7 linked regions of the Oryctolagus cuniculus genome follow. The protein of the gene in region 1 purifies or fractionates together with the protein of each later gene. This does not show direct contact. Links are inferred from orthologs where the notes say so. Each region holds a gene or a part of one and is shown in the gene's direction. Other genes may lie near its edges. The genes, in order: TRIM21, GMPS, ANXA2, FASN, IRF3, G3BP1 and ELAVL1.

Region 1 (3,218 bases):
CACTGTGCACTTACTCCTCATGTAGGATCTTTGTCCTCAGTGTGCTGTACATTGAGATTTAATGCTATAACTAGCACTCAAACAGTATTTTTCACTTTATGTTTCTGTGTGGAAGCAAACTGTTGAAATCTTCACTTAATGTATGCTAAACTGATCTTCTGTATATAAAGAGAATCGAAAATGAATCTTGATGTGAATGGAAGGGGAGAGGGAGTGGGAAAGGGGAGGGTTGCGGGTGGGAGGGACATTATGGGGGGGAAGCCATTGTAATCCATAAGCTGTACTTTGGAAATTTATATTCATTAAATAAAAGTTAAAAAATAAAATAAATAAAAGAGGGGGCAATATGATCATATATGCCTCTGAGAGGGTGGCAAAGGTAGAAAAACATGCCCTGGACTTTCCCGTGCTTGCCTCCCTGTTCTCAAGGAGATCCTCTATTAAGCACTTTCTGGTTTCAGAAGGCTAACAAATGGATAGCTCAGTTGCCAAGTTTCCCAGAGGATTTGGGCTATAATATCTTCACAGAGCAAATCCCCAACAACTGGGGAAAGGCTAGGAATTTCTCTAGCCTGCTGGGTCTGCTTTTTTAGAAGCAGTTACACCAGTTATAAACTACCTCGAAAGAGCTGTAAGACAGACCTACAGCATGGCCAGACTCCTTGAGGCTTCTCATAGATGTGATTCAGCCTGTATCAGACACCTTGCCTGTAAGATAAGATGGAGCCCAAGGTCACCAAGTAAGCATGAGAGAAGACACATGCTGCAAAGACTTTCATAACTAGGAATTTCTGGATAAATCCTGGAAATTTTTGCCTCTCATTCCTACTTCCCAGAGGCAATTATAAGTTTTGTACTTAACTATCACAATCCCCAAGGAAGTCATAGTGTTATGGTTGGGGTGGGGGAGCGGGTAGGTAATAGGAGTGGAAGACGAGTCTGAAACTCTTTCCCCAGGAGTGAGTCCTGGAGCCTGGAGGAGCTGAAAGTCATCTCACCAGACCTGAGGAGTGTGTGCCATGTGCCGGGGCTGAAGAAGATGCTGAGGACGTGTGGCGGTGAGGCGAGCTCTGGGAGTTGTGGGTGTGGGGCAGATGGGAATGATGAAAGTGTGGAGTAGACCCAGGATGGGGGAGGATGGACAGCAGTATGGAGGAGAGATGGCAGGTGGGGGAGAGATAGGAGTAGAGAAGGTAATCCCTTCAAAGGCCAGGGCAAGGCCAGGGCTCGCTGGAAGTCAGTTCCTCACCTGAGGAGGTCGGCCGCTCGTCCTCCTCCTGGAATTGACACAGATCCCCTTGCTACAGGCACAGGCTGAGGACTTCCCACACCCCAGGCCTGACCGTGGTGCTCTCTCTGCAGTACACATCACTCTGGATCCACAAACGGCCAATCCACAGCTCATCATCTCAGAGGACCTGAGACAAGTGAGGCTTGCAAACACCTGGCAGGATGTGCCAAAAAATGAAGAGAGATTTGATAATTATCCAATGGTCCTCGGTGCCCAGCACTTCAACTCTGGAAAGCATTACTGGGAAGTCAGTGTGAGGGGAAAGAGGGCCTGGGACCTGGGAGTCTGCAGAGCCTCGGTGCAGAGGAAGGGGAATTTTGTGCTCAACACTGAGAGAGGCTTCTGGACAATTTGGCTGTGGAAAGTAAAACAATATGAGGCTGGCACCTGTTCCCCAACCCCCCTCCACCTTCGGGTACCTCCATACCAAGTTGGGATCTTCCTGGACTATGAGGCCAGCACTGTTTCCTTCTACAATGTCACTGACCATGGGTCCCTGATCTACACCTTCTCTGACTGTGACTTTGCTGGACCTCTGCGGCCCTTCTTCAGTCCTGGTTTCAATGATGATGGAAAAAATGGAGCTCCTCTCACTCTCTGTCCACTGAAGATGGCATAGTCTGGACTCGCCAATTACTGAGGGCTCTTCATGGACACCCTCGTCCCATTGGGGCCCCTCCCAGCAGCAGCCCCTGCCTCTTTTGCCCATGAACGCTTGAGACACTTTTGCCTCTGCAGAGGTGTTGGGATCCCAGGAAGCAGTTGTTAGCAGGGGTGGGAGGTCACTGAAAGCCAATATCAAGTGGGTATTTCTGCTTTAAATTGCCGATTCCCTCCAGTGAAGCAAACTGCAGATTTAGCCCAAACTCACCTGAACCAGTTTCCACCTCCTTTATGTCGCTGAAGTTCTGTCCTAGGGGACAGCACTGTAGCATAGAAGGTTAAGCCACAGTTCAAATCCTGGTTTCTCCACTTCCAGTCCAGCTCCCAGCTAATGTGTCCGGGGAAGCAGTGGAAGAGGGCCAAGTCCTTGGGCCCCTGCACCCATGTGGGAGACCCAGACAAATCTCCTGGCTTCGGCCTGACCCAGCTCTAGTTATTGCGGCCATTTAGGTAGTGAACCAGCAAATAGAAGCTTGCTCACTCTCTTTCAAGTAAATAAACCTTTAAAAAAAAATCCTGTTTTAGCCTCTCCATCTTCAGGTTATTATCTTAGGTCAGAGCTCTGTTATACTGTGGGTGGTTTGTAAAATAGCTTCCTAAAAACAGTTGTGTTGTATTCTGCCCTTGTTCCTTAAACCTGAAATATTTGACAACTCTGATTAATAGTGATATACAACATTCCTTCAAAATGTTCATGGAAAATACATATGAAAAGTATGCATGGATTTCAATTTTTGCACCAAAATAAATGTATCTTAACTCCATTTTTTTTTTACAAACTTTAAAGTATGCTTAGATATCTAATGTTGCACATTTTTTCCTGCCTGGGCTGCCCTCCCTACTTCTGCATCTGGATTATTTGGTCTTGGGCAGAAGATACCAGTAAGAGTTTCCTCTCTTGATCTCCAAGTGGCCACTGTGATAATAGAAGGCATTTTGAGATTGCAGTCACTGCCCGAGGGCAGGTGCCCTTCACATAGAGGGAACTCCTGGGTTTGAAACAAAGTGCTCTCAGAGCTGGTACTGTTCTCTGTATCTCTGAAAGACCTGAGATGCTTCTGTCCATGTTCTTGGTTGACCAGTGAATGTCACTGATAGAGGGTGAAGGCTCGGGTGCCCTCAGCTCTCAGCGTTCTTCCTGGAAAATGGAACACTTCTACTCCTCCTGGGACATCCAAGTTTGCTATCATTCCTCTCTGAAATTCCCCCTTTCTTGGGCAAGTTTTTCTGGCTTTTCCAGGGGAACACATATGGCCTCCACTAA
Region 2 (3,500 bases), on another chromosome or scaffold:
TTGATTATATTTCTGTTTTCAGGGTGACTGTCGTTCCTACAGTTATGTGTGTGGAATCTCCAGTAAAGATGAGCCTGACTGGGAATCTCTTATTTTCTTGGCGAGGCTTATACCTCGCATGTGTCACAATATTAACAGGTGTGTCTGTAGGAAATGGGAGGTGTATGAGTGTAATGGAAGGAATTTTCATTTTTAAGATTTATTTATTTGAAAGAGTTAGAAGGAGGGACATAGAGATCTGTAATCTGCTGGTTGACTACCCAGATGGTCATAATGGCCAATGATGGGCCAGGCCAGAGCCAAGAACCAGGAGCTTCATCTGGGTCTTCCATGTGGATAGCCAGGACCTAAGCACTTGGGCCATCTTCTGCTACTTTCCTTATGCCTTTAGCAGGGAGCTGGATTAGAAGTGGGGTAGCTGAGACATGAACTGGTGCCCATATGTGATGCCGGCATCACAGTTGTTTTTATTCACTACACCATAACGCCAGCCCCAAGGATTTGTTTTCTTATTTATTTGAAAGACAGTTACAGAGAGAGGTAGAGCCAGAGAAAAGGAGAGAGGTCTCCATTCTGCTGGTACACTCGACAAATGACTGCAGCGGCCAGAACTGAGCTGATCCAAACCCAGGAGCGAGGAGCTGCTTCTGGATTTTCCACGTGGGTGCAGGGGCCCAAGGACTTGGGCCATCTTTTACTGCTTTCCCTAGGCCATAGCAGAGAGCTAGATTGGAAGAGGAGCAGCTGGGACTTGAACTGGCACCCATATAAGATGCTGGCACTGCAGGCTGGGGCTTTAACCCGTTATTCCACAGCGCAGGCCCCAAGGATTTGATTTTTTAAGTTCTTCCGTTAATGAGAGACCCAGAGGCTTAAGTGTAGATATAATTAGATGATATTTTATAAGAGTGAATCACTCCATTTACAGTTCAGATACGCACTTTGAACATAGTTAATCAGATATTTAATATCATTTTGTATTTGATCTTTCATCACAATCTGTTTTTTAAAAATTGGTTATTTTCCTTGAAAGGCAGAGTTAGAGAGAGGGAAAGATCTTGTTCACTACTCAAATGGACACAACAGCTGGGGCTGGGGCTGGGCCAGGTTGAAGCCAGGAGCCTGGATCTACCCAGGTGTGTGATGTCGGTGGCAGTGGGCCAAGCACTTGGGGCATCTTCTGCTGCTTTCCCAGGTGCATTAGCTATGAGCTGGATCAGAAGTGGAGCAGCTGGGACTTGATCTGATACTCATGTGGGATGCTAGCATCACAGACGTTAGCTTAGCCCACTGGGCCATAATGCTGGCCCTGGTATAAAAATATTAAAGACAGCTTTGAAATATGTATTTTAAATAAGTGACTTATGTTAGCTAATAGTTTTATAATAAGTTTTATGCCTGAGGATTGACAGAAATTTATACAGATCATAGAATTCAAAATAGAGATAAATTTAAATAGTATTCCCAGAGAAAGTCAAAGAAATAAGTAGATGCCAGATAGTATTGAAGTACCTGTGTTTACAGGTTACTTACACAGTTTCAAATCCAATTTAACTTGTTCATTAATTGCTTATGTTGGGTATAACAGCTGGTTCATAATCTTTTCCTGATACTTCATTCTATTGGCCCATATACAGTTAAAAAATCTTTCTTGTTTAGTACCAGATTGCAAATTATTCTTTTTTCACAGTTGCTTACCCTCTTCAGTTTTTAATAGTTGTTAAGTAGTTAAAAAGCCAAAAAGAATTACTTAAGATCTCATTTTACCTTGCGGCGCCGGCACACCGGGTTCTAGTCCCGGTTGGGGCGCTGGATTCTGTCCCGGTTGCCCCTCTTCCAGGCCAGCTCTCTGCTATGGCCAGGGAGTGCAGTGGAGGATGGCCCAGGTGCTTGGGCCCTGCATCCCATGGGAGACCAGGAAAAGCACCTGGATCCTGGCTCCTGCCATCGGATCAGCACGGTGCGCCGGCTGCAGCGGCGGCCATTGGAGGGTGAACCAACGGCAAAGGAAGACCTTTCTCTCTCTGTCTCTCTCTCTCACTGTCCACTCTGCCTGTCAAAAAAATAAAAAAAATAAAAAAAAAAATAAAAAAAAAAAAGATCTCATTTTATTCACATATGCTGCAGAAATTAGAAACCTATCTGTTATTATTAACCTAGTAGAGTCTGTGTAGTTAGAGAAAAGGAGACACAGGGAAACCAAGTTTTTACTGATGAGAACATGCCTATTAAAAGACTTAGTGGATCTAATGCAGAAGCATGTTTCATGTACTGAAAAAAAATATATTGTACAAAATGGTCAATTTGTAATTGCCCATTTTTGATGGAAATAATTGTCTTTGTTAAAAAAGTGATTCTTGATTCATCTTCTGAAGAATGTTAATTTTACTGTATAAACTTTGCATGTCATACAGAAAGTTTCCTTCCCTAAGTTTAACTAAATTTTAATTATATGATAGCATGATTTTCATTTTACATTCTTACAGTTTTATTTCTTTTAGTTTAGCCAAAAGGTACTTCCTTTGTTCAGATTTTTATTTCTGATCTTTTATATGATTATTTGCCTCTTTTTTGCCTTCCATTTTCATTCCCCCATCCCATACTCCCTCCTCAAAAAAGAAAACAAAGCCTAATAACCAGCAAAAAAGGATGGATTTAAAAATATGAACCTAGCAATCTCTTCAAAAATCTTAGTGGAAAGGTTGTAGATTTGTTTTTGCCCAGAATCTTTTGGAAGTTAGAACTTTTCCCATTTTCCCTCTTAATAGAGTTGAGAGAATCTTTGTACAGAGAGGGACTCTTCCAGTTAAATGTCCTTTTCAATGTGCATGACTATTTGTTCCCTAGTGATCATTCTTGTTTTAAAGGCAAAAAGAGCAGATGCATGGCATTCTCTTGAAGTAATCATTATCTAATCTCGTGAAGGATCATTTATGAGCTGTAGGAACTGCATGTGTCTTTAGAAGAAGCATGCCTGAATTTCCATGCCTGGGATAGGAACCTTCCTCTGTTACAGTATGTTTGGAAGGAGGCAATCAAGTAATTGGTGATAGTGCTGGTGTTGAGCTAATGCTGTTTTATTTTGTATATATTTCATTCCAAGTACTTAGTAAGAAAGAAAAAAAACATTAAACTTTACCATGGTAGTTACTAGGAAAGACTTATTTGCCCTTCTAATAATAGGGTTAAGGAAAAGGGACAGTTGTCTACTGGCTGGAGGTAAGAATAGAGAAAGCTAGGTAGCACTCCTAAATCTCCCCTGGCTCCCTCTTATTATTGGGGTGAAGATTGTGAAACAGATCTCTCCAATCAGGGACAAAATTCATCTCAAGTTTGAATTTTCTTAATTGATCTTCATGTCCTCAAGTTATATTCCAAACCCTACTTTTAGTAGTATTTGCAGTGCATCTTCATATCTTACAGATAAATGTTTGCTTAAAAGCAGTAGTGAGTCATTCCATGGGAGAGAGGTGGAAGGATACTAAGTCGTATTTCAGTGG
Region 3 (2,295 bases), on another chromosome or scaffold:
GGTGGCAGGGGCCCAAGTACTTGGGTCATCTCCTGCTGCCTTGCCAGGTCCTTCAGCAGGGAGCTGGACGAGAAGCAGAGCAGCCAGGACTCGAACCAGTGCCCCCATACATGGGACGCTGTGCTTGTTAAATCCTGCTGCGCCTGGAACGCCGAGGTGCTCCTGGTCTCCAGAAAGGAGTACTTTCACTGTTGTGTTTGCGGTCTCTCTCAGAGCACGACATCAAGAACCGTGCAGTCCTGGGCTCCAGAGAAACCTCCCAGGCTGTGTTTGTGGTGGTGTTGTCAGTGAGTTCACCCCGTGTCGTCCCTTGCACTTTCAGGGCAAGGGGACTCGCGACAAGGTCCTGATCAGAATCATGGTCTCCCGCAGTGAAGTGGACATGCTGAAGATCAGGTCGGAGTTCAAGAGGAAGTACGGCAAGTCCCTGTACTCCTACATCCAGGTGAGGCACCAGGTGCCGGGGTGCCCCGGCGGGTGGCCCGGGCAGAGGCTGGCAGAATCAGGATTTTCTGGCTTCTCCTTCCCTGAGGGGTGGAGCTGCTGGTCAGGAGAAGTCAGGGATTTATTTTGGAAGCACTGTTGATGACCTGCCCCAGGGCCTTGTAGAATCAGGCAAAAAAAAATCTATCTCCTGCCTTTGTCATCCTGTCACCATCATCCTTGTTCATGATGATGATCGCCGACATCCTTAAGACTTAGAAGATTGGTCGTGACTTTGGCTCCGTGGTGCGTGTGCTTGGTGCACAGCCCTCCATGGCAAGCCTGACCACCTGCGCTCTCATGTCCCCATCAGTTCAGGGTCTGTCCCTGCTGGTGGGACGGTGGGATGGGATGTTCCTATAGAAGGAGTGACTGTGTTTGCAGAGCGGGATTGCTTGGTCGGGGGAGGTTCAGACCGGCTCTGCAATCCGGGGTCTGTTCTGAAAGCCTTGGAAGTTTCCAAAGCCATGTCCATGGGTGCCATGGATGAGTCTGGAGGCGGAATGGGTATATCCCCAAGCTGTCAGGGGCAGGGCTAAACTGGAGGGACCAGCTGGGGTCTCAGGAGATGTTTCCTCACCTCCCCAGCTTATATCCACTTGACCTTGAGAATCCATGAAGCAAAGAATGAGGCAGGAAAGGTACCCTTGTCCTGTGTGGAAGAGAGAGGGCGAGGAGGAAAGGGGGGAGGTCTCAGGACCCCTGTGCAGGAAGAGCACTCCACCCCTCCACCTTCGCAGTGTGGTGGGACTCAGATGCCTCCCTGGGGGATGGCTGGCCAGGCCCCAGGCGTTGGGCTTGGTCTCCAGGGCCCCTGTGCTGGGCCAGGACCTACAGACCCTCCCCTGTGCTGGCCCTGGGCCATGCTCCACTGTATGTGGGGGATGCCCAGATATTTCTTTTTGTTGCAGAGTTGGGTCTTTCACTTGATTTATTTTTTTTCTCTTTGGCCATTTGTAGCAAGACACCAAGGGTGACTACCAGAAAGCATTGCTGTACCTGTGTGGTGGAGACGACTGAAGCCCCCCGCAGGAGTGCCCACCAGCCGTGCCACACCTAATGCCTGCTAACAGTGCTAGAAAACCAGCTTGCAGCTAACAGACCCCGTGCCCGCCCCATGCAGGTGGGGCTGGTGCCGCCCCCAGCCCCAACCTTACTTTAGTTGCCTGAGCGTTGCCCGGCTCTGCCCTCTAGTCTCTCCTTTAAGCCAAAGAAAAGAACATTCCAAGGAGTTGGAAGTGAAGTCTGTGATGTGAAACACTTTGCCTCTTGGGCACTGTGTCAACAATAAACTGAATTTTTACTTTAAAAACCAGTATTGTGTTGGCCTTGCTTTCCATTGAGTTCTTTGAAAATCACTCTCCCAGGATCGTGTTGTTCAATGGGTAGGGCCGTCGCCAGGGGAAGAAAGTTCTGGAACACAGCCAGCTGGTGCAGTGGGCACTGTCCGGGGAGGTTATTTAAATGCATTGAAATGAAGTTGAATTCAGAGTTTAGTCCTACAGTCCTGCTGTACTCACGTTTCAAATGCTAGCTAAGCCCCTGCGTGTGGGCCGTGTGGGTACAGAATGCTTCCAAGGCCATAGGAAGTTCTGTTGGGAGCACTGCACCCCCAGGGGATGGAGGGACTGTGGGGAAAGGAAGTCCCACGGCCGTCTCGACTGCTCGTGCTTCTACAGGTAAAGTAGGTGAAGCAACATCAGTGGCTGCTGCTTCTGTTGAGCAAATATTACAAATATCGGGGTACATCACTAGGCACATCCTGCCCCACCCTCAGGAACTCACCTTCAGGGCCAGTACTGTGGTACGGGG
Region 4 (3,500 bases), on another chromosome or scaffold:
AGCGGGGCCTCAAGTCCAGCTGCACCATCCTGCCCCTGATGAAGAAAGACCACAGGGACAACCTGGAGTTCCTGCTTACCAGCCTGGGCAAGCTGCACCTCACCGGGTAGGTCCCCGCCCGCCCGCCCGCCCCCGAGAGCCCCCGAGCAGGCCGGGCCAGCCGCTCACGCCCCCGTCCCCTTGGCAGCATCGACGTCGACCCCAACGCCCTGTTCCCGCCGGTGGAGTTCCCGGCCCCCCGAGGGACCCCTCTCATCTCCCCCCACATCAAGTGGGACCACAGCCAGAGCTGGGACGTGCCCGCCGCCGAGGACTTCCCGAATGGCTCCAGTTCCTCCTCCGCCACCGTCTACAACATCGGTGAGCCGGGCCCCGCGCTGGGGAGCTGCGGCTGGGCCCTGGTGCGCTGGTTCTGAGACCTGTGCCTGCCCGCAGACGCCAGCCCCGAGTCCCCCGACCACTACCTGGTGGACCACCGCATTGACGGCCGCGTCATCTTCCCCGGCACCGGCTACCTGTGCCTGGCCTGGAAGACCCTGGCTCGCAGCCTGGGCCTGGCCATGGAGCAGATGGCCGTGGTGTTCGAGGACGTGACCCTGCACCAGGCCACCATCCTGCCCAAGACTGGTGAGGCCCCTGGCAGAGGCTGGGGCACTGAGGGGCGGGGCCCGCTGACCTCTGACCTTTGAACCTGACTCCGCTGCTCCACAGGGACCGTGCCGCTGGAGGTGCGGCTCCTGGAGGCCTCCCGTGCCTTTGAGGTGTCTGAGAACGGCAACCTGATCGTGAGCGGTGAGTGGGGTCCCAGCTCGGGGCACAGCTGGACGGCCCTGCCCCAGCCCACTCAGGCCCGTCTGCCGCCCACCCGCAGGGAAGATATACCAGTGGGAGGACCCGAACCCCGAGCTCTTCGAGCGCCCAGAAGGCCTGAGTCCCGCGGACGCCTCTGCCGCCTTCCGGCTGACCCAGGGCGACGTGTACAAGGAGCTGCGGCTGCGTGGCTACGACTACGGCCCCCACTTCCAGGGTGTCGTCGAGGCCAGCCTCGAAGGTGGGCTGGGCTCCGGGTGCCCTGGCCGGGCTGCAGAGGGGCTCAGAGACCATGTGGCGCCCGGCCCCTCTGCTGCAGGCACCTCCGGCCAGCTGCTGTGGAAGGACAGCTGGGTGACCTTCCTGGACGCCATGCTGCAAGTGTCCATCCTGGGCCACAGCCAGCGCAGCCTGCGCCTGCCCACGCGCTTCACGCTCCTGCGTATCGACCCCGCCACCCACCTGCGCAAGGTGTATGCGCTGCAGGGCGAGGCCCGAGGTACCCCTGCCCCGCCCCGCCCGCGTCCGCCCCACACCCTGCCCCGCGCCCCCGGGGGGCCCTGGGCTCACCCGCCTGTCCCCGCAGCGGCGGACGTGGTGGTGGACAGCTGTCTGGGCACCATCGTGGCCGGCGGAGCCCACATCGCCGGCCTCCACACCTCCGCGGCCCCCCGGCGGCAGCAGGAACAGCTGGTGCCCACCCTGGAGAAGTTCTGCTTCGTGCCCCACGTGGAGGGCGCCTGCCTGTCGGAGAGCGCCGCCCTGCAGGAGGAGCTGCAGCTGTGCAAGGGTGAGGCCCGCTGACCGAGCGGGGGCAGAGGACACACTCAGCCCCTCCCTGGCTGTGCCCCCACCCGCACACGCCCTGGGGGAGGCAGGCAGTGGCCGTTCCGGGCTGTCCGCTGTGTGCCTGTCCTGCAGGGAGGCCCACAGGCGGGCTCTGGGGGCATCGGTCTGTCTCTTCTCCCAGGGCTGGCGCAGGTGCTGCAGACCAGGGTGGCCCAGCAGGGGCTGAAAATGGCCGTGCCGGGGCTGGACGGGTCCCCGGCCCCCCAGGAGCCCCCTCAGCAGGCCCTGCCCCGCCTGCTGGCGACCGCCTGCCAGTTGCAGCTCAACGGCAGCCTGCAGCGGGAGCTGGGCCAGGCGCTGGCCCGGGAGCGGCCGGGGCTGCCCGAGGACCCGCTGCTCAGCGGCCTCCTGGACTCTCCGGCGCTCAAGGCCTGCGTGGACACAGCCCTGGAGAACCTGCCCAGCCTCAGGATGAAGGTGGTGGAGGTGGGTGCTGGGCCAGCAACGGGCCGTGCCAGGGAGCCCAGGGCCAGGGCAGCCTCTGTGAGGACACACGTGCTGCACCTGCTCCGGCGCGCTGCGCTGCGGCCGGAAGACACCCCGGCACGGCAGGCAGGCAGGGCCAGAGCTGGGGTGCGGGCGTGCAAGGGGCCTGGGGCTCCGGGCAGGGGACCCTGAGGAGAGCAGGCAGGCAGGGTGGCCAGCAGGGTCGCTGGCTCAGGAAGCTGCCTCCATGCCAGGTGCTGGCCGGGGAGGGCCACCTGTATGCCCGCATCCCAGAGCTGCTCAACACGCAGCCCATGCTGCAGCTGGAGTACACCGCCACCGACCGCGACAGCCAGGCCCTGCAGGCGGCCGAGGCGCAGCTGCAGCAGCGAGACGTCGGCCAGGCCCAGTGGGACCCCGCGGGCCCTGCTCCCGGCAGCCTGGGCACAGCCAACCTCCTGGTGTGCAACTGTGCCGTGGCCAGCCTCGGGGACCCGGCCTCCGCCCTGCGCAACATGGCGGCCGCCGTCAAGGAAGGCGGCTTCCTACTGCTGCACACCCTGCTGCGGGGACACGCCCTCGGCGAGACCCTGGCCTTCCTCGCCTCTTCCGAGCCTCAGCGTGGGCCGAGCCTCCTGACCAAGGTGGGACCCGGGGCCAGGCTGGGGGGGGGCCGGGGCCAGGCCAGCCGGCGCTGACCCCGCCCCCCGCAGGACGAGTGGGAGCGCCTGTTCGCGGAGGCGGCGCTGCACGTCGTGGGCCTGAAGACCTCCTTCTACGGCTCCGCCCTGTTCCTGTGCCGCCGGCCCAGCCCCCAGGACAGCCCCATCTTCCTGCCCGTGGAGGACGCCAGCTTCCGATGGGTGGACTCTCTGAAGGTCTGGGCCTGGGCCTGGGCCCCCACCCAGCACAGCCCGTGGCCCTCCCAGAGGCCAACCCCGCCTTGTCCCGCAGGACGTGCTGGCCGAGGACTCCTCCCGGCCCGTGTGGCTGACGGCTGTGGACTGCGCCACCTCGGGCGTCGTGGGCCTGGTGAACTGCCTCCGCAAAGAGCCCGGCGGGCACCGGATTCGGTGAGAGACGCCCGCCCCCCACGCCACGCCCGCCCCCACGGCCCCGCCCCCACGGCCCTCACACCCTGCCGCCCACAGGTGCGTCCTGCTGTCCAACCTCAGCAGCAAGTCGCCCGCGCCTGCCCTGGGCCCCGAGTCCGCGGAGCTGCGGGAGGTGCTGCGGGGGGACCTGGTGATGAACGTGCATCGGGACGGGGCCTGGGGCGCCTTCCGCCACTTCCCGCTGGAGCAGGGTGAGCCCCCGGCCCTCGCGGGCTCCCTGCCTGAGGGGCGGGCTGAGCAGGAGGATGGGGACCCCGGCCAGGAGGCCCGTGGCAGCCTCGCTCCTGCCGCCCCCAGACA
Region 5 (4,225 bases), on another chromosome or scaffold:
TAGATTCCAGATTGTGGATGGGCCACCAGTAACGTTTGTACCAATATTCCACAATCCAGAAAACTTCCCAGATGGGAAGCCCTTCTCGTCCCGGGCACCTCGGGACCTGCGGACTGATCCCAGCACGCGTCGCCCAGCTGTCCGGGCTCACCGACCACAGCTCTGCCGGCCGCGCCGGCGCAAGGTGGATGGCTGCGCACCACCTCTGCCGCACTGGACCAGGAAGGGAACGGTCACACGGCTGCGCAGCCAAAGCGTCCAGGGCTCCGGCCTCCCTGTCGGAGGTGCTGGGGGCTGCACAGTCCAACAGGGCGAGACCCATGTGGACCGGGAGAGGTGCAGGGGGGCCGCGATCGCTCCCGCTGTCCACCCGGAGAACTGGGGGGCGGAGCCGGAACCCGGCACTAGGACCGCATCCTGCCTGCGGTCAGGAAGGGCTTACCCGGCTCCGAGCCATAGCAGGGGCGGAGGGGCAGGGAGGAAGGCCGAGGGGACTCAGGGGGGGCGGCTGCTCGCCCCAGGGGGCACGGAAGACATCTGCGGAGGCGGCTCAGGAAGTCTGTCGGCTCCTCCGGGGCGGGGTTCCTGGGGAGGGGGACCTCAGAGTGACCCCGGGGGGCCCCTGGGGACAGTCCCTCGTTCCTGCCCACTGAGGATCTCTCCCTCGCTGGACAAAGACGGACTGAGAGCGAGAGGGGGTCCCTCTTACCTGGGAGGGGTGGGGCTGGGGGCCTCGGCAGCCTCGCCCCTCCTGAGGAAGGCAGCCAGGACCCTCAGCGTGTCCTCGCGGAGCCCCAGCTCCTCCGAGCCCGCCATGGAGGCACCTGGGGGAGGGGAGGCTGAGGAGCTGGCGGCTGGGGCCCAAGCCCCCCGTCCCTGAATGAAGAGAGGCCCAGGAGTCCTGGGCCCCAAAGGGAGGAAGGCGCTGAGGGCCTCGGGGAGGGTTCAGGGTTGAGGGACCCAAACTCTTGAGTCCCCCAGAGGGAAAAGTGCGATGAGAACCAACTGCTTTATCCCGGAAAAGGAGGGGCCCGGGGCTGGGATTCCTAGATCCAAGGGAGGAGGGGGCTGGGGGCCCGGACTCCGGGGTCCGCGAGGGGAAGGGGGCTTTCTCGTGCATGCTGAAGTTAGCATATGCCAAGCTTAGCCGTCCTTAAGGGACCGGGAACTACCAATCCCAGCAGGCCCCGCAGAGGGCGAGCGCGGGGCGAAGGGAGTGTTTGCCACGAAGCCTGCTGGGAGATGTAGTTCCGACCACCACGCTGGCACGTTGGGGACCCCCGGCCCTGGGACATCGGAGAAGCGGCGCTGAGGTACCGCTCCAGGGTCCCGGCCCGATTCACACTTTATCCCAGCCAAGGACAACACCCCACTCACCTGGCCCAGCGCCCCGCTGCCGCAGCCGCCTCCCTCAAGTCACACAAACTTTTCTAGTAGGTCAACTTTCCCGCGCCTGCGCACTGGGCCGGTTGGGTAACCGCCCCCAACGTGGAAGGGGCGGGGCGCTGAGTGCCGCCTGATTTGCATATGACGTTCCCAGCATGCCTGTGGCCGGAAGACCGAAAAGGGGCGAGACGGGTACGCTCTGGGCTGCAGGCGGCCTCTTTGGCTTTGGAACTTGTTACCTAGAGGATGTTGAAATTGCTTTTATTTCAAGAGATCGATAGGAAAGACAGCCCCGGCGCGCTAAAGCTCAGCTGACAGGACACAAGCTGCGCAAGTTCGAGCTTGAGAGCTACCCGGAGCCCAGGGCCGGTGGGCGTCCACCCTGCGCGCCCCGACCGTAACGCGGAAGAGTTCATTCCAGAGTGGAGAGGGGCGCGCGCGCTGGCGGGGGCGGGGGGTCGTGCCCGAGCATCGGCGCTGGAAACGGGTAGGGGGCTCCCTCGTGGGGGAACCGTGGAAGGCGGCCCACAGCGCGGTGGAATCGGGGATGCCGGCTTTGGATCAGGAAAAGGGGGAGGTCTACACTGGCCGAGGCGAGGGCGTGGAGGCTGGGTGTCTACAGTGTGTCTGGGCTGGAATCCTCGCTGAATCAGGGAGTCTTTCCGGAGGATGGGAGAGGAGGCCCCCTGTTTGTACACCAGGCGATTACGGGACGCTGCGACCCGTGGAGGGAGCCTGGGTGTGGAAGTCCTGGGCCAGGTAGGGCAGGAGAGGGCCCACGCCCAGGAACCTCCCTGTCCGCGCAGGCGGGAGCATGGGGACGCAGAAGCCGCGGATCCTGCCCTGGCTGATCCAGCAGCTGGACCTGGGGCAGCTGGAGGGCGTGTCGTGGGTGGACGAGCACCGGAAGCGCTTCCGGATACCTTGGAAGCACGGGCTGCGGCAGGATGCGCAGCCGCAGGACTTCGGCATCTTCCAGGTGCGCGCGTGCTCGGCTGGGAGGGGCTTGGCCCTGTGGCACCTGCTCCTAAGGCGACGGGTGTGGGGGGGCTGGTGCTGGGGAGCAGGCAGTGTGGGAGCGGCCCGGTTCCAGTTATCAGGGCCAGAGCCCCAAGGAAACGCATTCTGGTGCCGGCTGAGTCTGGCTTTGATTGTTGAATTCTGGGAGTGGCCAAAGCTGGGGTTCCTAACCACCAGCTTAGGATACACAGCGTCGGGGGCGGAGCTGAGGCTGTCCTGGGACCCGCAGAGGCAGGGAGACACCAGCGGGGCCCGGAAGGCTGGTGTGGGAATCAGTGGGTTTGACAGCTGCAGGCAGGGTGTAGGGGTGAGGCTGGATTATAGGGAAGCTGGGCACGTGGGGAATCCGAGAATCGGGATGGAACCCGGGCGCCAGAGGCTGCAGTGGGGGCGAGCCTTGTGTGAAGTGAGGACCCCAGGGCAGGGTCTCATCCTCCTCCCTGGTGTCCCGGCACCGCTGGTGCCCTAGGCCTGGGCAGAGGCCAGCGGCGCCTATACTCCCGGGGATAGGCCCGACCTGCCAACCTGGAAGAGGAACTTCCGGTCCGCCCTAAACCGGAAGGAAGTGGTGCGTTTAGCTGAGGACCGGAGCAAGGACCCTCACGACCCGCACAAGGTCTACGAGTTTGTGACCTCAGGTGTGCCAGAGCAGGGTTCCCCACGGAGGGCCGGGATGTCCGGTGCCCAGCACCCCTCCGCCACCATCGCCTTTCTCAACAGGAGCTGGGGACATCTCTCCCGAAGTTCAGGGGGACAGTACCTCTGAGAGCCAGGTGAGCATGCACCCCTCCCCGTCGTCCTGGCCTGGCCTCACCCCCCCCCCCCCCGGCTCCCAGCCCCCTGTGGCTGTCCGGCAGCCTCGGGCATCGGAGCGCCCACCCCACCCTGCCAGGATTTCATAGCTTTCCTCGGATAATGGCGCCCTCAGCCTCTTGAGACCTCAACCCCTCCCCCTCCCCCTCCCTTGCTGCTGTGCCAGGGACACGCCCCCTCTGAGACCCCCGTCTGCCAGGCGCTCAGGGGCGCGGCTGCGTCTCCCCCAGCCTGGAGCTCGTGGAGGGCCGAGGGGTCCCCGCGTGGCTGAAGTCCCCAGGAAGGGCCGCGGCGCCCAGCTCCGTCTGTCCCTCCAGGAAGACGAGCTGGAGCAGCTCCTGGGCGACATGGGCCTGGCGGCCGGCCCGGACGAGGGGCCCTGGGCTGGGGCTGTGGCCCCTGAGTGCTGCCCTCAGCTCTTGCTGAGCCCTCACCTGGACCACCCCGGCCCCTGCCCGCACCCCGCACCCCCTGAAAACCCACTGAGGCAGCTGCTGGTGCCCGAGGAACGTAAGTGCCCGCGGAGGGGCGGGAGGGGCCGCGGCCAGGGCTCCGGGCCTCACTCTCTCCCCGCCCTTCACGCCGCCCCGCAGAGTGGGAGTTCGAGGTGACCGCCTTCTACCGGGGCCGCCAGGTCTTCCAGCAGACCATCTGCTGCCCAGGAGGCCTGCGGCTCGTGGGCCCGGAAGCCGCAGCCAGGACGCTGCCGGGGCAGCCGGTTGCCCTGCCGGACCCCGGGACGGCCCTGTCTGACGGGAGCGTGAGCTGCTACGTGCGACGCGTGCTCCAGAGCCTGGAGGGGGGACTGGCCCTGTGGCAGCTGGGGCCTCGGCTCTGTGCCCGGCGGCTGGGGCACTGCCACACCTACTGGGCCGTGGGGGAGGAGCTGCTCCCCAACAGCGGGCACGGGCCCGCCGGCGAGGTCCCCAAGGACCAGGACGGAAGCGTGTTCGAGCTGGGGCCCTTCGTGGCAGGTGAGCGGGCGACGGGCTGAGGCGAGCACGGG
Region 6 (4,038 bases), on another chromosome or scaffold:
GGCCGGCGGGCTGACCACAGCCCGCCCAACGATCGCTCCTCGGCGGCAGTGCCGCGGGCCAAGTCGGACCGGAGCCCGCGTGGGGCGCGCGTCCTCCCGCCCAGCGGCCGTCGCCACCTGCCGCCTAGCCACGGGCTCCGGCGTTCCCAACGGGCGCGCCTCGCCGGCAGTGCTGACTCACGGGAAGGGCCAGCAAGTGCCCTCAGGCAGCGCGCGGACATGAAAGAGTTTGATAAGGAGAAGAATTAAATTCAGGGAAACTTTGCCACTTGGCTTCCTGGGTGCCAGACTGTGCGGAAAAGGCGGGAGAGGGAGACCCCAGGGGCCGGACCCAACAACCGAAAGAAAGAGGACAGAAGCCGGAGCCCGGCCCGCCTCTTAATCGCCCCGGAGGGCAAGGCCGCCCTGAGCCTCGGTCTCTTTGGAGAGCGGTTCAACCCCCATGTCAATCAGCTCATTCCGGTGTTGCCATTGGCCAGGTGCTTCCATGGCCTCCAAGTTGCCCACCTCCTAGTTGCTTGGGGTTTACTTCCCCAAAGTACACGGGCCCCACCTTGTGGAGCAACCGCTCCTGCACGGAAAACGGGTCTCCACCCAGGGGATGGAGTGCTAGCCAATGAGAGCATCTCCAAGCATTTATTGGCTACTATGGGTATCAGTCAAAGAATTTCCCACCCTCCTCTCTACTATGCCTTCCAGTTACTGGGCCCTTTGAGTGCCAATCCGTTACTAGGGAAACGAGATCTTCACAGTCTCATAGGTATGTGTCAAAGCCAATCAAGAGCCACGCCCCCATCATGAGGCAGTATCCAATTGCTGTTCGAAGAGCCCAGAGGATGCAGTCGGGATTGGTCATCCACTCGCCTGGCCTGGCTGCAACAAGTTAGGCTGAGTCGCGATTATATAGACCGGCGGCGGAGCACGCGTGTGTGCGGACGCAGTTGCGTGAGCGATTTCTGCTTCTCTCCGTGCGGTGGAGCAAGGCTTGTTCCTCTCCCACTCAGCCGCGCAGGTACGCCGGGGTGTGGGCGGGGCAGGGTACTGGAGGACGGGGACGAGTCGGGGCGACGGCGGGAGAGAGGAGAAACCCGAGGAGCTGCCGCGCGGGGCGCGTCCCCCCACCCCCACCCCAACGGCCGCAGGCGCGCGCGGCGGGCGTTCGGGCGCGCGGCGCCGCCTCCCCCCCCCCCCCCCCCCCACCGGCTGGAGCGCGTGGCCGCGTCCGCCGCGCGCGCGTCCAACGGCCACGCGGGGCAAGAGCAGCCGGTGGCGGCGGCCCTCCGAGTCCCGGCGTGACCTCCCGGGCCCGGGGTCCCCGCGTTGCCCGGGAGCGTGTGCGGCTGGCTTTGCGCGCCGGCCCCCGCCACGCGCCATCGGGGGCTTTCTTGGAGGGGACAGCACGAAAGTGCCATGAGAGAGAGTCTCGGAGCTGGCAAAGCAGAAGTGCCGCGCCTTGGTGGCGCCTGCGGGGACGGGGGAGATGCGCGGTCCTCCCCGCCCGCACGGTGCCGAGCGGGGTGTCTGCCCGGAGAGCTGGGTGCCGTCGCGGCCGCCTTTCGAATAGGAGAGGCACGAAGGCACAGGCCCACGGGCGGAAGGGCGGGTAGGGTGGCTCGCTGGCTCCGGGCCCCTGAGCCGGTGCGAGTCCAGGGCACCTTTGCCCCGGGAGCACTTGTCCCTTCGCAAGGCCCCTGCGCGGAGCGCGGCCGGGCCTGAGTGCGCATGGGCTTGCAGGGGCTCGGGTTGGGAGTGGGGCTGCGACAAAGGGAAGGGGTGTTTGGGCTTCGTGCCTGCACGTATTCGTACCGTTGCAGCTTCAGAGAAAATTAGAGGGGCGGGGGGACCGAGTAAAATGCAGATAAGTGCGTGTGTTCCTCATCGGGCTTTAAGCTCTCAGCATTGTGATGGGAAAGTCCCGCCAGCGGGAAGTGAGGCTGTGATTCGACTTTTCCCTTTTTTGTTTAAATCAGCCGATTTTCGGGGAAAAAAAGGGACGTCTAAGAAAATCAGTTGCCGAAAATGAGGTCCAGAGCAGTGAGATTCGAATGTCCCCAGCACCTGTGGGTTGAAATTAGAAATTGGAGTGGAGGACATAGCACCGGTTACAATGTAACCGTGATCCTGCGGGGGTTCTGTGGCTGAGAGGCGCACTGTCGGTATTGGAAGTGTGTCTGCAGGGTTCAGTCCGCAAGGCTCCAGGGTGTGTGCAAGGTCGTGGAAGAAACCTTCCTTACCATCAAGGACTGGAGTTTATTTTTACAGCAGTGTTCTCATATTGTGGACTATTGAAAGCTAGTAATGCCTTGGTCTCGTGAAATGTTTTTAATGTTGCAGGCCCGTATCATTCATTTTGCATCGCAAATACCTGAACTTCAGGCAGAACTAAAAAAAGTTTGAAGATTAGCTCTTTGGACTAATTTTTTTTCTTGAAAGGCTTTTCACTGTTTTGTTTTTCAGTAAAGCTTGTTTCTACAGATCCTTTTTCAGATCTTTAAGGGATTTTTTTGCTGTCAAAGCAGACACAACGTGCATCCTTGTGCAGGGATTAACAATTACGAAGTTTAATATTTGTGTTTCTCTACGACAGGCGCTTTCCCTGTTTCTTAACAGAAGGTAGCAATAAAGGATCAAAATAATTGTAGGGACAAGTTCTTCCTTTGTTGGTGTTGCTATAAATAACACGTTGCTTTAAAATGTAACATTGTTTTATTTGCAGCGTGCTTTGTGTAGCAATTCCAGTTACCTGCATTTGTAGCATGTTAAGATTTAAGGTGAACCATTTAAATCGCCTGATGTTCAAACATGATAATGACGTACATTTAAACAGAGTTCAGTGAACATTATTGCTTGAGGTAAAATAAATATATCAGAATGAAATGATCTTACGTATTGAGGAAAATTTTGTAAATTTTACCTTCAAATACTAAAAAAGTTGTTCTTGACCTCAGGCAAGAAGTGGTCTTGTTGGTCTGGAATACTATGTGATTATTTTGCAAATCAGTACCCCAGCTGCTGATTTGTGCCTTTTATCTAGTACTGGTAAACTGAAGAAATTGTGATAACACAATACCTGTGTCTCCCCACTTCTGGATCAAGGTATAGGTTACTTTTCTTGGAGTTGAGTCCTTTCAGTCTAAGCTTTGTACCTCTTCTCACAGGTAGAAAAGTATGTGGGTCATTGTTTAACTCTTAGCTGGTAGGTGGGGTGGGGGCGACATTGGGAGATTTTGATTTTGTTTGTGACCCGTGTTAATTTATCTTTTGGGTTTTCAAAATTTATTTCAGTACTTTATTTAGGAAGTAAAGAACACAGATTAGTTTTAAATTTTCATAGATTTGTGATGGTGTTGAAATTTCATATAAGACCAATTACTAAAATAAGTATTTTTGTCATAATAAAACTGCATACTTGATCTTTTAACATTTTTGCACAATAGTTTTTTTTTTAATTACAGAATTCAAATAGGTACTGTATCTGTATATATGTAATTACATTGTGCTTTTTGACTTCCTTGGACAGAATTGTATTGACTTTACAAAGGAGGACAATTATCAAAGTACATTTGTCAAAAAAAAAAAAGTCCTTCCACCCCCCACCACTAGTCAGCTGAGGGAAACCTGTACTGTCCTTCCAAGTCCTGGAGTTAAATTTAGATTCAGCAACTGTAATCTCACTCACAGTTAGGGATCACATTGTGGCTGTTAACCAGCTTTATATCTTTTTGAAAAGTCAGCTTTCTCGTTGACCCTTCTTTTGTGAAGCGTTCTTACACACCACTGGGGCCTCACTGGGAAGGCTAAATTGCAAGCCAGGTGGTCGTGTGGTGAGCTAGGAGTAGTCCACATACGAAGAATGAAGAGTCTGCCTGACAGAGCAGAAATCAGTTAACATTTTTTTCATCACAGGCTGTGATCTAGTAAATAAGGTTGTTTTTTATAATATTGCATAGCTTTTTAGTATGTTTGCTGTACTTCAGCATTCTGTGAAAAGTAAAGATTAAAAATGTTTCAGAGAAAAATCTGACTTCCTGGGTGAGA
Region 7 (4,151 bases), on another chromosome or scaffold:
AGCTATTGGAAAAAAAATTTTTTTTTAATTATCCTCTGTGACTTGCATACAGGGGGTATCTCAAAACAAGAGGTGGGAAAGTGGAATTGAGAGGTAAGTTTATTTTGGCGCGAAATGTCTTGAAATCCATGCATGGTTTTCTCATAGCATGCATTTTTGTCCACTCACTGCCCCTACAGGGACTGGCACACACAGCAGGTGCTCAGTACAACTTAAGTGAAGAAACGTGAGGCCCTAACAGCCAGCCCTGCTGGAGCACTTCACCACTTCCCTTGTCCCGCCTCCCCACCGTGCAAGATCAGGAAACTGAGGCCTGGCGAGGTGACGTCAGCCCCTGGCCAACGGCAGCAGTGGGCAACGTCCGGGCCGGGATTCGAACCCGGGTCTTCTCCCCACAGCCAAGGCCCGCCGACCCTTCCTACCTTGCTGGGCGGCAGCTGCAGCGAGGCAGACAGGTGTGAGGCACAAGGCAAGTGCTCGACAAGGAACGCCGCTCCTCGCCCACCACCTCGAGTCGGCCTCCTGGGCTAGGCCCCTACTCGCCCCCTTCGCGGCCATCGCTGGCCACCCGCGTCTCCGCCGGCCTCTGAGCCTTCGCAGGCGGCGCCTACCGGAAGTCCCGCCTCCTCCGCGCGCCCCGGAGCGCAGCGACAGCCAAGCCTGCCAATGAGCGGCGCGCCGTGGCGGACGCAGACCAATAGGCGCGCGCGCCGGGGGGGCGTGTCCGGGCCGCGGGCCGGAGCGGGTCGTGCGCGCTGAGGAGGAGCCGCCGCCGTCGCCGTCGCTGCCGCCGCCGCCACCGCTACCGAGGCCGAGCGGAGCCGTTAGCGCCTCGCCGCAGCCGCCGCCCGCACGTCCCGGAGCAGCCCCGGGCCCGCCCGCCCGCGACCAGGTGAAGCAGGGGGGCTTTTGGAGGCGCCCGGCAGGGTAGGCCGCGGCAGGCCTGCGCTCGCTTGGCCTGGCCTGGCCGCGGGCGCCCGCGGGCCTGCACCGGTCGAGGCCCAGGCCGCGCCGGGGCCTGGAGGGGACGCGCGCGGGCCGCGCCGGGCGGGGCGGGCGGGGGCTGGCCAATGTGGGCGCCGGCGGCAGGCCCCGGGCCGGATTCCTGGGGCGCCGCGAGGGGAACGCGGCGTGGGCACGCGCCTGGGGGCCGGGCTCCGCGGCCGCGGCTCCGGTAGCCTTGGAAGCCCGGGATCCGGGGGCGGGGGAGTGAGGAGAACGCTTTGAGCGCGCAGAGGTCACGGCCCACCGGCTCGCTCCCCTGGGAAATCCCACAGATTCTTTTGTGGCCGTTGTCAGAGGACCGGCGGCCGGCCCGCGGCCCTTTTATAAGTGTGCAAACCCCTTGATCTGCAGGGGAGCCCTTGAGGCGGAAAAAACGTATTTTTTTTGAGCGCCATCTCTTAACAAAGCTGTTCGTGGGGCGTGGGACGTTTGTTTTTGTAAAATGTGTGTGTGTTTAGAACACGAAACTGCACGCAGTTGAACAATGGATGGATGCTCGTCCCTCCTTTTCCGGTGCCCGCTGTGGCGAGGCTTATTAAAACGGTCTTTGATACCTACTGTGTGCCCGGCAGGTGGAGAGGAACTTGGGCACGGCCGTCCCTGGAGGGACAGAGCCGCCGCCGCATCTCCCGCTGAGTGAGTCCTCACGTGGGATTTGGACGGCCAGTGTTCCAGAAATGGGGATGGGATTGACTCCGCAGCGTCCGCACTCGGGATGGTTGGGGTCAGGTCTTGGTTGGCCGGGGCTGCTCTGTGCGTTGTGGGGAGTTGAGAGCATCCCTGGCTTTTACCCTTTAGCGACCCCGCCTCTCCCCTCCCCCAGCGCAAGCATCCAAAATGTCTCCAGACATTGCCAGATGCCTTCCCCCCCAGGGGGTGGGGTCTCTCTTGCTGTCTCACTAAAGTGTCTGATCTTCCAGGAAAAGTTCCTCCAGCCCTCTCTCTGATCCTTTGAGAGGTGTTCCCAAGACCTTGAGATGAACTGTGTTGGGCTTTAGCTACAGAATAGTGAGGAAGGCGGTATGGTGCTGGCCCCCCTAGCGTTGTGCGTGGCCTGGCGCCTGGCAGGAGTCAGCGCCAGGGTTTATTGAGAACTGACTGTGCTTGACTCCAGCCCTCCAGGTAGGTGCTGTTGTAATTTCCATTTTAGAGATGCAGAAACCGAGGTTCAGCTGCGTGGCCTGATGTGCTCTTCTGCTAATGTGGCCAAGGTGGGGTTTGAATTCAGGCTCTCAGACTCAATCTTAACCACAGGGGCCCAGCAGGTGGTGTTTCTGGGGATTCCATTCAGCTGTCATCGAACCGCCACAGGCCAAGCTCTGGCCTGATACCTGCTTTAAAACTACCATTTTGAGGTCCATGGAGAGACTGAGAAGCCTAACATCTCTAAGTGTGCAAGGAAATTGTGTTGAGGTTGAAGCACTGGTTTTGAGGGAGCAGAGTTTTACTTTAGCTGTGTTGAGTCTGAGGCCATAGCGCAGCAAGGGGAAAATGAGCCGGTTAAGAAATTCCTGGCTTCTGCTGCTTGCTTCGCGGCTGTTCTTGCTCCCTGCTGCCATGTCTAGCAAAGTTGGCTTTCCACACTCCCTTGCCAACTGTCTTCTGTCAGGGCAGGTCCGGCAGTGCCACTCCTGATTGCAAATTTTTGACCTGAAAAACAAATTTTCTTGGCCTCTTCAGGTGACTTAAAGGATAAAAATCAGGGCTCCTTAGGCTTGGCTGCCTGTTCTTTCACACTCAGCCCTCCCTCCCTTCCTGACATCATTGTACCAGTGCCCCAGAGTCCAGGCCTCCCTGCTGTCGCGCTCTCTGCCTGGGAGATGCCACTGTCTTCCAGCTAAGGATCACTTCCTTGTGCTCCATGCCCCAGCTCAGAGCCCACTCCCCGTTCCTTCGCCCCGCACCGGCATCAACTTGCCCTTCCCATTCAATTTATGGAATTCACCGCTGAATGGTGAGAGAAGCGCAGTGCCCTCCTTCCGCCCCTAGGTGGCAGGCCTGAAACGGCAGGCCCGACAGGAGGCTGTGGGTCAGAAGACAAGGAAACCAGCGGGTAGAGGGGAAGTGAGTCTTGTTTCTCTCCTTTGAATAACTTTCCCTGTGCCACTGCGTCCTGGGCCCTGTGCTAGGCTCTGGGGAGATGATGATGTACACTGTGTGTGTGTGTGTGTGGATCATCTCAGCTCACTAGCCAATGCTGTGACAATTAGGCTCTGGCTGACACAGAGGCCACAGAAGAGGGAGCTGTTAACCCAAGCCGAGGTGGGCACAGACAGCCCAGACTGCCTGCTGGAGGAGATGAAGAGAGAGAGGTGAGGAGGAGTTAGCCAGGGGGAGGGGCTTGGGCATGGATGGGGCCTGTCTCAGCTTGTCCAGGTACACATAGGGTCTGGGACTTTAGGGCAGGAAGGGTGAAGGGAGCCGTGGCGGGGCTACTGCTGCCACTTGCGGGCAGAGGGTTTGGCTGCCACCCTCTGTGGCAGGCCTGGGACACTACTGAGCAGTGTTGGTCACAGAGGGAGTCATTCTGCACACAGAGAGCTTTGTCCCGCCCAGAAAAAGCTGGAGGTGGGCAGAGCTCAACGTCAGAAAACCAATTAGGGGACAGTTGGTTTCCTTTAGAGCATGGGTGAGGGACCTTTTTTTCCCCCCACAAAGGTCCATTTAGATGTTTATAATATTCACAAGCAATACAAAGTTATCAACTTAAAAATTAGCCTGCTATAGACTATTGGATTTCAAGTCCCACCTGTGGTTGCCTTGGCAGGGTCAGATCAAATGGTTTCACAGGCCTTATACAGCCCTTGGGCTAGACATTGCCCACCCTTGCTTTAGGTCCAGAAAGCTGGTGATGTGATCCAGGGCTGCAGTGCTGAGACAGAGAGGGGACACTGGGGGGAAGGACACAGGGCTCATGGGTTTGGAGGTGTGGAACATGAGGGAGAGAAGACTGGCTGACTCTGGGTCTGAGTGTGACCCTGGAAGCGAGTCAGTCACTGAGAGAAGCCAGAAAGCCCCAGAAGGAGCACTTCAGTATGTGAGTGGGCAAGCAAGCATATCATTAGCAGGGAAGGGGCCACAGGTAGTAGCTGCGTCTGCACTGCAGGGCCGTTCACGCCCATGCTCGCCTGTCGTCCTCCACCCAG

Evidence for each region.
Region 2: the proteins of TRIM21 (region 1) and GMPS purify together in Homo sapiens (affinity purification with western blotting; 3 studies listed by BioGRID). This does not show direct contact. The link is inferred for Oryctolagus cuniculus from reciprocal best matches to the Homo sapiens genes TRIM21 and GMPS.
Region 3: the proteins of TRIM21 (region 1) and ANXA2 purify together in Homo sapiens (affinity purification with western blotting; 3 studies listed by BioGRID, with this or other methods). This does not show direct contact. The link is inferred for Oryctolagus cuniculus from reciprocal best matches to the Homo sapiens genes TRIM21 and ANXA2.
Region 4: the proteins of TRIM21 (region 1) and FASN purify together in Homo sapiens (affinity purification with western blotting; 3 studies listed by BioGRID, with this or other methods). This does not show direct contact. The link is inferred for Oryctolagus cuniculus from reciprocal best matches to the Homo sapiens genes TRIM21 and FASN.
Region 5: the proteins of TRIM21 (region 1) and IRF3 purify together in Homo sapiens (affinity purification with western blotting; 3 studies listed by BioGRID, with this or other methods). This does not show direct contact. The link is inferred for Oryctolagus cuniculus from reciprocal best matches to the Homo sapiens genes TRIM21 and IRF3.
Region 6: the proteins of TRIM21 (region 1) and G3BP1 purify together in Homo sapiens (affinity purification with mass spectrometry; 3 studies listed by BioGRID, with this or other methods). This does not show direct contact. The link is inferred for Oryctolagus cuniculus from reciprocal best matches to the Homo sapiens genes TRIM21 and G3BP1.
Region 7: the proteins of TRIM21 (region 1) and ELAVL1 purify together in Homo sapiens (affinity purification with western blotting; 3 studies listed by BioGRID, with this or other methods). This does not show direct contact. The link is inferred for Oryctolagus cuniculus from reciprocal best matches to the Homo sapiens genes TRIM21 and ELAVL1.

Annotation. Positions count from the first base shown.
Region 1 is NC_091432.1:62,646,944-62,650,161, forward strand, and holds the end of TRIM21 (E3 ubiquitin-protein ligase TRIM21), read left to right. Parts: intron 1-957; coding exon 958-1,058; intron 1,059-1,362; coding exon 1,363-1,910; 3' UTR 1,911-2,718; downstream 2,719-3,218. UniProt on the Homo sapiens protein: E3 ubiquitin-protein ligase whose activity is dependent on E2 enzymes, UBE2D1, UBE2D2, UBE2E1 and UBE2E2.
Region 2 is NC_091435.1:125,038,502-125,042,001, reverse strand, and holds part of GMPS (GMP synthase [glutamine-hydrolyzing]), read left to right. Parts: intron 1-22; coding exon 23-138; intron 139-3,500. UniProt on the Homo sapiens protein: Catalyzes the conversion of xanthine monophosphate (XMP) to GMP in the presence of glutamine and ATP through an adenyl-XMP intermediate.
Region 3 is NC_091443.1:83,261,075-83,263,369, reverse strand, and holds the end of ANXA2 (annexin A2), read left to right. Parts: intron 1-322; coding exon 323-445; intron 446-1,443; coding exon 1,444-1,503; 3' UTR 1,504-1,795; downstream 1,796-2,295. UniProt on the Homo sapiens protein: Calcium-regulated membrane-binding protein whose affinity for calcium is greatly enhanced by anionic phospholipids. It binds two calcium ions with high affinity. May be involved in heat-stress response.
Region 4 is NC_091448.1:881,253-884,752, forward strand, and holds part of FASN (fatty acid synthase), read left to right. Parts: coding exon 1-106; intron 107-187; coding exon 188-360; intron 361-435; coding exon 436-627; intron 628-711; coding exon 712-792; intron 793-871; coding exon 872-1,051; intron 1,052-1,129; coding exon 1,130-1,309; intron 1,310-1,396; coding exon 1,397-1,600; intron 1,601-1,780; coding exon 1,781-2,085; intron 2,086-2,339; coding exon 2,340-2,729; intron 2,730-2,798; coding exon 2,799-2,963; intron 2,964-3,039; coding exon 3,040-3,158; intron 3,159-3,236; coding exon 3,237-3,391; intron 3,392-3,497; coding exon 3,498-3,500. UniProt on the Homo sapiens protein: Fatty acid synthetase is a multifunctional enzyme that catalyzes the de novo biosynthesis of long-chain saturated fatty acids starting from acetyl-CoA and malonyl-CoA in the presence of NADPH.
Region 5 is NC_091449.1:7,838,213-7,842,437, forward strand, and holds the start of IRF3 (interferon regulatory factor 3), read left to right. Parts: upstream 1-1,425; 5' UTR 1,426-1,541; coding exon 1,542-1,578; exon of another isoform or gene 1,579-1,873; intron 1,874-1,911; exon of another isoform or gene 1,912-2,055; coding exon of another isoform or gene 2,056-2,192; coding exon 2,193-2,365; intron 2,366-2,875; coding exon 2,876-3,044; intron 3,045-3,126; coding exon 3,127-3,179; intron 3,180-3,449; coding exon 3,450-3,729; intron 3,730-3,812; coding exon 3,813-4,193; intron 4,194-4,225. Other genes in the region: BCL2L12 (bcl-2-like protein 12), read right to left, coding at 443-585, 710-816.
Region 6 is NC_091437.1:38,749,060-38,753,097, forward strand, and holds the start of G3BP1 (ras GTPase-activating protein-binding protein 1), read left to right. Parts: upstream 1-1,238; 5' UTR 1,239-4,038. UniProt on the Homo sapiens protein: Protein involved in various processes, such as stress granule formation and innate immunity. Plays an essential role in stress granule formation.
Region 7 is NW_027208201.1:4,186,157-4,190,307, reverse strand, and holds the start of ELAVL1 (ELAV-like protein 1), read left to right. Parts: upstream 1-1,351; 5' UTR 1,352-1,489; coding exon 1,490-1,641; intron 1,642-3,215; coding exon 3,216-3,317; intron 3,318-4,151. UniProt on the Homo sapiens protein: RNA-binding protein that binds to the 3'-UTR region of mRNAs and increases their stability.